Linked DNA regions of Mus musculus. The protein of the gene in region 2 purifies or fractionates together with the protein of the main gene of each other region. This does not show direct contact. Links are inferred from orthologs where the notes say so. Each region holds a gene or a part of one and is shown on either strand. Other genes may lie near its edges.

Region 1 (4,547 bases), on a different chromosome or scaffold from region 2:
AGGGCCCTCTGGGACTTATGTTTCATCTGCACTCTGTCTACTGTTTCTATTCTGTTCTCTTACGCGGCATCTCTATCCCAGCTCACCAGCTGCTTTGTATTCTCCAAAGCCCCTTGTAACTGCCCACTCTTGAGTTAGCTCATCTGCCTGAGCCAAGAACTCCACTCTTGAGTGTCTGTCGATTTCTATCTAATAGCACAAATAGGGAGAAAGGGTTCTTGACAGTTCTGTGTCTCCTGGGAGGAAGACACGCATTTCTTACCATCTCCTCCTCTCTGCCCTCCAGCATCTCATTATGTTGTCTAACTTGTTATGTTGCCATGTTTCAAATTCACAATCCTCCTGCCCCAGTCTTTGAGTGTTGTGATTACAGATTTGTAATACTACAAAGCGGAAAGTCGCTTATTTCTAACTCTAGTTGGTTGCAACTCTTCAAGTTGCACAGAAATTACTGAACTCCCTCTCTTTTTAAACCCCGAAGTTATTAAAATCTTTTGTTAGGGTATGTGCTCCTAAGAGGCTGGGCTATTTTAACGATCTTCAACAGTTTTGTCAGATCCTAGAAACGTGCTGCATTAATAGGTTTTCATTATGTCTTAAGCCCAGTTTGACTTAGCTAAATAGTGCTAGCAATGATAGTGGTTAAAGCCACAAGCACCGAATGACAAAACACATTTTTATCTATATCATATCCCAGGACTGAGTTAGCAAGTCAGTGCAGTGATATTTCAGGGAAACTGTGGGCTTATCCTGTCTTTGTGTAGGACATATGCTAGCAATCACTCTAAACCCTGAACCCTCATGATTATAAAAGGCTGATGTTAAAGAGTCTGTGTTCTAGGTTCCAGTTTTGATGGTAATGGACTGACACCCAGTCGCAAATCTTTTGTGGTCTCATTTTTCTCATCTGTAAAATGAGATAAACTCAAGCATCTCTGTCAGACCTGGCTTCAGATTTTGCAAGATGCACTCCGGTGCTATGTGAGGCCATCCGGGCTTCTGCCAACGTAGGCTGATGTGATTTCAAGTAAGTTCTAGCTCAAAGGTAAATCCGACACCACCACTTGAATTTAATGCAGCCATCTGCTAGGCTCTTCCTGAGAACCCACAAATTAGGGATATGGACAGGATAGTGTTGGGGGTAGGTGAACTCACTGCAGAAAGGATCTGATCTACTTGCCAGGGTACAGCTGGAAAGCAAGCACAATCGCCGACACCCGCATCTCCTTTGCAGCTAGTGGGGCTACACCTCTGTATTTTTCTTGTTCAACAGACTCCTTCCCAGATTATTTCACAGGAGGGAGGGGCGTGCATGATTCCAACAAACATACAAACCTGAACACCTAATAAAACCGCATAATTTCCCTTCGGAATCTAGTCTTTGAAGAGCAGCTTGTAACTTTCTAAAGAGTGTTCCCGTTTTCTAGTCAAGAATTCAGCCGCGTGGGATTCCATAGCAAGCCTCTCGCTTTAGCCGACCAGGGGGAGTGCCGACGCTCTAGGCGAATGTACCCGTTGGTCGGCCCGGATGATGCCGTTCTAGCCAAGTCTTCCTCTCTATGGTCCGTGCGCGACTTCCGGTGGCGGGACGCGGGGCTGCGCACGCGGGAAAAGCTTCCCCGGCATCCCTTCCCCCGCATCCCTACCCCCTCCCCTGCGTCCCCCTGCGCCCACCGCCCTCACTGTGCCGTCGCGAGGCTGCAGCTCTTAGAGGTGGGTGGTCGCGATCCCTGGGCCCCTGGTGTGCATGGGCCCCGCTCCCCCGCGGGACGATCGGAATGGATCGATCCGCGTTCAAATTCGCGGGCAATGGGCGAATCCATTTTAAAAGAAGGGGGAGAAACGTAGATTCACGCGGGGCCCCGGGGTGGTGGGGTCTCTGCGATCAGGACACTACCCTCTGAGCGGAGTTGAGGTGCGCTCTCTGAGCGGGTCTCAGGTTCCGCCGATTGTTGCCGTGCCTGTCCGTGGAACGTACCGAGAGGGTGTCGGGTTGGGGTGTAAGCGCCACTATAGGCCTGGTTCTGCACCTAGGGTCCTGGGCCTTGGCCTCAGGAGCCCTGCAGAACGGGTCAGTAAGATCCCCAGGCAGCAAAGAACTTGAGACATACCAGGTACATGGCTGAGCGGAGTAAGGTGGCGTTGTTTCTTGCTTATCAGTCTCCTTCCCGAATTCAGATTCCCACCCTGCTGGACATCTACACAACTAACCAGGAATTGGGGCACAGCATCCAGAGAAGGGTTCGTTTTCTCTGGTGCAGCCTAGGGCTGTGTGCTCAGGCCACCACGGGCAGGTGAACATGGCAGAGACATTGGAGTTCAACGACATCTTCCAGGAGGTGAAAGGGTCCATGGTGAGAATGGCTTGGGCAAAAGAAAGGCAGAGAGGGGGAAAGAGTTCGAATCTATGAACGAAAAGCTTAACTCTGACTACTTTTTTGGAAACAGTGTATCAGTGTGTCCCCCAAGCGAAAACGTGAGCAAAGTCTCAAAGAGTTGCAAGATGTTGAGTTTGTTGAGTTGTATTAGAAAACCAGGAAACTGGGGCCCTTACAGGGTTTCTGATGCCAGAGCCAAGCTTGCAGTCTAGACTTAATGTCTGTTGTGTCTTTTAACTTGATTTCACCACGACCGCTTTTCAATTGATACTCTGGCCATCCTGCATCCCATGGGTAAGGGGTAGAAAGGATCCACTACACACTACCCTGTTCTGATTTTGGGTCTGTATTTTGGGCAGAATGATGGGAGGCTTCGATTGAGCCGTCAGGGTATCATCTTTAAGAACAGCAAGACGGGCAAAGTGGACAACATCCAGGCTGGGGAGTTGACAGAAGGCATCTGGCGTCGGGTAGCATTAGGCCATGGGCTTAAACTGCTCACAAAGAATGGGCATGTCTACAAGTACGATGGCTTCCGCGAATCGGTGAGCGATCTTGTTCTGTGACCCACTTTCTTTGTAACTGCCTTGTCTTTTTTTATTTTTAATCTTCTAGAGACAGTTGGCGTTTCTCTGATAATCATGTTACTGCTCATTTGGGTTCCTCGAAGCAAGGCTGTTGGAGACTATTGAACAAAACAAACAAACAAAAAAAACAGTGTTGTGTATTCAGTACACGTGTCGTGTACCTGGACTCCAGGAGGTTTTCTACCATCTTAACTTATACCATGGTTTCCACTTGCTCCCTCTGTCCTGGCTCAGCATCTTAGCTTGGTGCTCTAGGATTTTGCTTTTCCATTTTGAGCTGCTTTTGAGTTACTTGGTTTTAATATTCACTTTCATCAAAAGATCACCTACACAAAGTTTAGAAACTCAGGTGATGCATGTATCTGGGAATTTAAGTTTCTTTACTACTCTTAGCCAGAGGCCCAGAAAAAAAGTTTTTGTGGTTATTGTTAAAAAATATTTTCAGGGTCTGGAGAGATGGCTCAGTGGTTAAGAGCACTGACTGCTCTTCCAGAGATCATGAGTTCAATTCCCAGCAACCACATGGTGGTTCACAACCATCTGTAATGGGATCTGATGCCCTCTTCTGGTGTGTCTGAAGACAGCTTCAGCGTACTCATATATAAAATAAATAATTTTATTTATTTATTTATTTATTTATTTTTGACAGGGTTTCTCTGTGTAGCTCTGGCTGTCCTGGAACTCACTCTGTAGACCAGGCTGGCCTCAAACTCAGAAATCCACCTGCCTCTGCCTTCCAAGTGCTGGGATTAAAGGTGTGTGCCACCACTGTCTGGCATAAATAAGTCTTAAAAAATAATTTTCATTCGTTAAAAAGTATTTATTTTATCTGTATGAGGCTTTGCTAGCTTGTGCACCATGTGCATGCCCGGTGCCCACAAAGCTCAGAGGAGGGCATTGGATCAGCTGGAACTAGAGTTACAGACAGGTGTGAACCACTGTGGGGCGCTGAGAAGGACTCCAAGGTCTTCTGGCAAGAACAAGTACTCTTAACTGCTGGGCCATCAGGTCTCTAGCACTTAAAAGGTTTTAAGCACAAAGGTTAAGGGAAGGAAAGAGGCTTGGAAGAAGGACATCCTTGAAGAGTAGGGCAGAAGGCATCTGGGTTCTAGAAACAGTCTCCACTAACAAAGGGAAATTGTTTTGAAACAGTTTTGGAGTTGGTATACTCAGTTAGCTGAAGTTCCTGAGGAAGATACATTGGTGACCTGAGCTAGAGACTCTCAGGACCTGTTAGTTGTGTTGAGACCCAGAGGTTTAACTGGATCTGCATTTTCTCCGTTTGATTTACAGGAGTTTGAGAAACTCTCTGACTTCTTCAAAACTCACTATCGCCTTGAGCTAATGGAGAAGGATCTGTGTGTGAAGGGCTGGAACTGGGGGACAGTGAAGTTTGGAGGTGAGTGGGCAAGCTTGAGGTTTGGGGAGAAGGTGGGGTGAAGGAGGGCCTCAGATGGTACCTTTCTGTACTCTTTCCTTGGTTCTGATTGCTAATTTCAGTTTGTGTGTTTAGCATGGGTTTCTCCAGCATGTACGGTCCATCAGGCACTGTGCCTGGTTTTGGTACGGTGTGAACAAAGTT
Region 2 (3,813 bases):
AAATTGACAGCAAAAAAAAAAGAAAAGAAAAAAGTGGAAATAGGTGTTTAGCAGATTTAAGAAGTAGTAGGATAGAAGACTGGTGCTCATAGAAGGCTAAAAATAAAACACAAGGGAAATTGTGAAACGTACTTCTAGGTTAGAAAATTAAGTTGTACAGTCGAGATTTTATATAAATGACAGCACTAAATGCTATAGACAAAGCAGGCTGTAAGCTTGCATGTATTTGTCTGCCACTGCAGACATGGATAAGTACGGTCTTCACAGGTACTGAGTTATCATCCCCGTTATAGAAAGGCAATTAAGGTGATGGGTTTACTCCGTAGTGGTGGTAGAACATGTGCTTTCCAACGCGCAGGCGTCTGGGCTGTGTCCCAGCATTACAAATGGGCAAATAACAACAAAAGCATGCTGTATGTCTGTAACTCTCAATTAGTGTTGAAGAATTCTTTTAAAGCTATTTCATGTTTTGTTAAATTGCTAGTAAAAAGGCTATATATCCTAGGGTTGGTAAAATCCTGTAAAAGTCTGTTCTTCTAACTAATGGTTTCTTTTTATCAGTTAGTCATCTCTGTATTAGCCCTGTTTCCTTTTTGCTTTTGTTGCTAAGACAGTTTGAGCTAAGTTTTCTTCTTAAGTGTAATGAGACTTCTTAGCATAGTTTTGCCCCATGTACATGACTTTTATGAAACTCCAGCTCATTTGTGTCATTTACAAAATCATTACTAACCCTTCTGTCCAAACAGGAAGAAGATAAAAATTAACAGAGTTGTAAGTTCTGCAAAAGAGACTGAGGCACCTCTATACCAAGTCTTTATTCATCTAGTATGTCCTATCTAACCTGAATAGAACTGGGTTAACTAAAAGTACACAGAGCAAAAAGCAGACTGGAGGGACTGGAGAGATGACTCAGTGACTAAGGCACTTGCTGAGACCAGTCTCAGTAAGCAAGTGGATGACAATAAGGGAAGACACTGATGTCTGCCGCTGGCCTGCACATGTGACGTGTGCATGCTCACCTGTACACGAGGACATGCACACAGACACTTATCACCACACAATGCAAATACATGTCAAAATAAATAAATAAATAATAAATAAATCAGAGGACTGCAAAATGACAGACCACCACACATGTAATAGGAATAGGGATAGTATATAGATTTTCTCAGGAAAAATTAAAAGGCTGAAAAGACAGGATTCTGACTGCCTGACTTTCTCTGGTGAATACTGTCCTAGTTTCTAGAATCAAGTGTAGTTTTCTAAATACTGCCTCCAAATTGACTCTCGTAGTATTGCTCAGCCTGACGCACCTATGGGACTTAGTGAGACACACTTAACATCGGCCAGAGGCACAAGTCACTTGGGAATAGAACATTTATGCCTCCCAGAACTGATGACAATGCATAGAGGCTGAAAGGAGATACAGTAAATAAATCATTAAATCAGTTTGGAGGTGAGCTCAAAACTATATGTTAGATCAAGGATCCTTCAATGCAGTCAATTTTAATATGTAGATGGTGGCAGTGTGTGGGTTACTGTAAGCTGCTCAACACAATTACTCTATAGTTATCTAAGTTAGGACAGGCCTGCTTCCAAATTTACCTGATGAGAGATGGAAGGCTGCTGGATGGGCCCCTGCATTCTAGGGTTTGGTAAACCCACAGGTGCTGGCCTCCGTTGCACCTGTTGCCTCTGAGCCATTACCTGTTGCTGAATATGCTGGAGTCGTAACTGAGCTAGGCTGATCTGTGTTGGGAACTTGGATAACTGGTTGGAAGGTAAACCACCTGGTGGCTGTGAACTCTGCTCCACGACAGGATTCTGCTTAGGCATTTGTGGCTGGCTCTCTTTATCCTCGATTACTAAAGAACCTAATTAAAGAAAAGAGAACAAGATAAAAATGTTTGGTAATTGGTGAAATACCACATATTATATAGCTACTGAGTTGAACTTTAATTGCCGAAGAATTTTGGACACAGGATCCTATAAACTATTAAAAATGGAGGAGTCCCAATGAGGTTTTTATTTATATTCTATAAAAACTTAACTTCTAAGAATAAGAATTCATTTATAAATAATAAGACTTTCAAGAACAGCCCTCTTCCAGCCCGTGCTTTGTATGTCTATGTAATTTTTTTTAAGTAGGGTAGATCAAAGTGCTTGATTCTAGTTCTGGCTATATATTTTGATAAGCAAATGACCACCTTTATGTCTCATGTTGGCCTGCTGGGGTGGTTGGGTGGGGGTCCTCTATCACCTAGTCTTCCCTGGTTCTTTTTTGTTCTTCCTTTGTATGGATGACATTCGTCTACGCCTGTGTCTTCCTTTCCCATAGTAAGCTGTGAGAAAAGCACTGGCTCCTGCAGCTGCTCCCTTTCTCACACACAATGTAGTCTTGAGGGTGAAGAGCAGTCATGTTTGATGACTCTAAAAGAAATCCAGGCACCAAGGTGCCATCAAGGAAATGCTGGCTGTGGGGAAATGTCTAGGGGGCTTCTGAGCTTTTGCTTCCCATCACTTCCCTGGGAGAAACTTTAAGAGCAAAGAGAATCCTTCCATACACGTAGCAGCACAGCAAGAGAGCTGAGTGTTCCTTTCGACTGCACTGCTTACCAAGATTATGTACTTCCTAATGTTGCCAAGATGCTATTCTCTGACTCAATGAGTCCTGATATTTAAGACGGAGTACTTCTCTGTATGTTATCCTTCAACTACTTACAGACACACTCCCTATCTGTACATTCACACAATTTATAACCTGACCAGGATAAGAAAAGACCTAAAACCCAAAACAAATTGAAGGGAAGAAAAAAGAAAAATCTTCTATTCGTAAGATAAAGCAGTTGAGCAACAGGGGCTTGAGCAATGGTTTTAAAAATTGTTGTCAGCCTTGTGACATGGTGACAGTGCTGGCCCCTACAAAGCTACTACGGCTTGCAAAGTAAGAAGTTCAATATAAAAGGCAAGATGGGGAAAAGAAAGTCACATAATAACATGATTTTATGTTGGGTAGGTTGACTACATAGTCAAGGTAGGCTGCCCTGAACCACAGGAGACCTTTCTTGTCTTACCCCACTCTATCCCCACTGCACAAAGCGTAACTTGGGGCTAGAGAAATAGCTGAGTGGTTAAGAGCACTTGCTGTTCTTTTGGAAGACCCAAGTTCTGTTTCTAGTACCCTTGTTAGGCAGATCACAACCACCCTGCAACTCCAGCTACAGCAATCAAATGCCCTTTTCTGGACTCTGCAGGCACCAGTATACGGATGCACACACGAACACATAGGCAGAAGGCTGTTCACTAGCTGCATGGGAAGTGTAACACACACACACACCCCCCAAGCATCAAAGCCCACACATCACATACAGTTAGAGGAAACAGACTCTGATAGAGACAGAGGTAACAATACAAATAGGATTCTTGGGGTTGCGCGAGATTGCTTAGCAGCTGCTCTTCCATTCCCAGCACTCATATGGCAGGCAGGCAGCTCACAGCCCTCTGTAATTCCAGCAGGATCTGGTGCCCTATTTTTGACTCTGTGGGCACTGCACATACATGGTGCACAAACATACATTCAGGAAGATTCCCATACATACTAAAAAACAAAAATGCAAGCACAAACAGGATTCTATGAGGAGAAGAACTCCTAAATCCCTAACTTAGGTACCCCGTAAGCAAATGTATTTTCATATCATCTCAAAACAAGTACTATACATTCATGCATTTGTGTACCATATGCATATAATTGATGACACACTGTTTTCCCAGTGAGTATAAACAAGATAATGAATAGCAATGTTATGTTCAGTA

Evidence for each region.
Region 1: the proteins of Trim24 (region 2) and Ssrp1 purify together in Homo sapiens (affinity purification with mass spectrometry; 3 studies listed by BioGRID and IntAct, with this or other methods). This does not show direct contact. The link is inferred for Mus musculus from reciprocal best matches to the Homo sapiens genes TRIM24 and SSRP1.

Annotation. Positions count from the first base shown.
Region 1 is NC_000068.7:85,035,616-85,040,162, forward strand, and holds the start of Ssrp1 (FACT complex subunit SSRP1), read left to right. Parts: upstream 1-1,504; 5' UTR 1,505-1,713; intron 1,714-1,835; exon of another isoform or gene 1,836-1,915; intron 1,916-2,160; exon of another isoform or gene 2,161-2,178; 5' UTR 2,179-2,300; coding exon 2,301-2,354; intron 2,355-2,737; coding exon 2,738-2,923; intron 2,924-4,258; coding exon 4,259-4,364; intron 4,365-4,547. UniProt on the Homo sapiens protein: Component of the FACT complex, a general chromatin factor that acts to reorganize nucleosomes. The FACT complex is involved in multiple processes that require DNA as a template such as mRNA elongation, DNA replication and DNA repair.
Region 2 is NC_000072.6:37,943,582-37,947,394, reverse strand, and holds part of Trim24 (transcription intermediary factor 1-alpha), read right to left. Parts: intron 1,875-3,813; coding exon 1,606-1,874; intron 1-1,605. UniProt on the Homo sapiens protein: Transcriptional coactivator that interacts with numerous nuclear receptors and coactivators and modulates the transcription of target genes.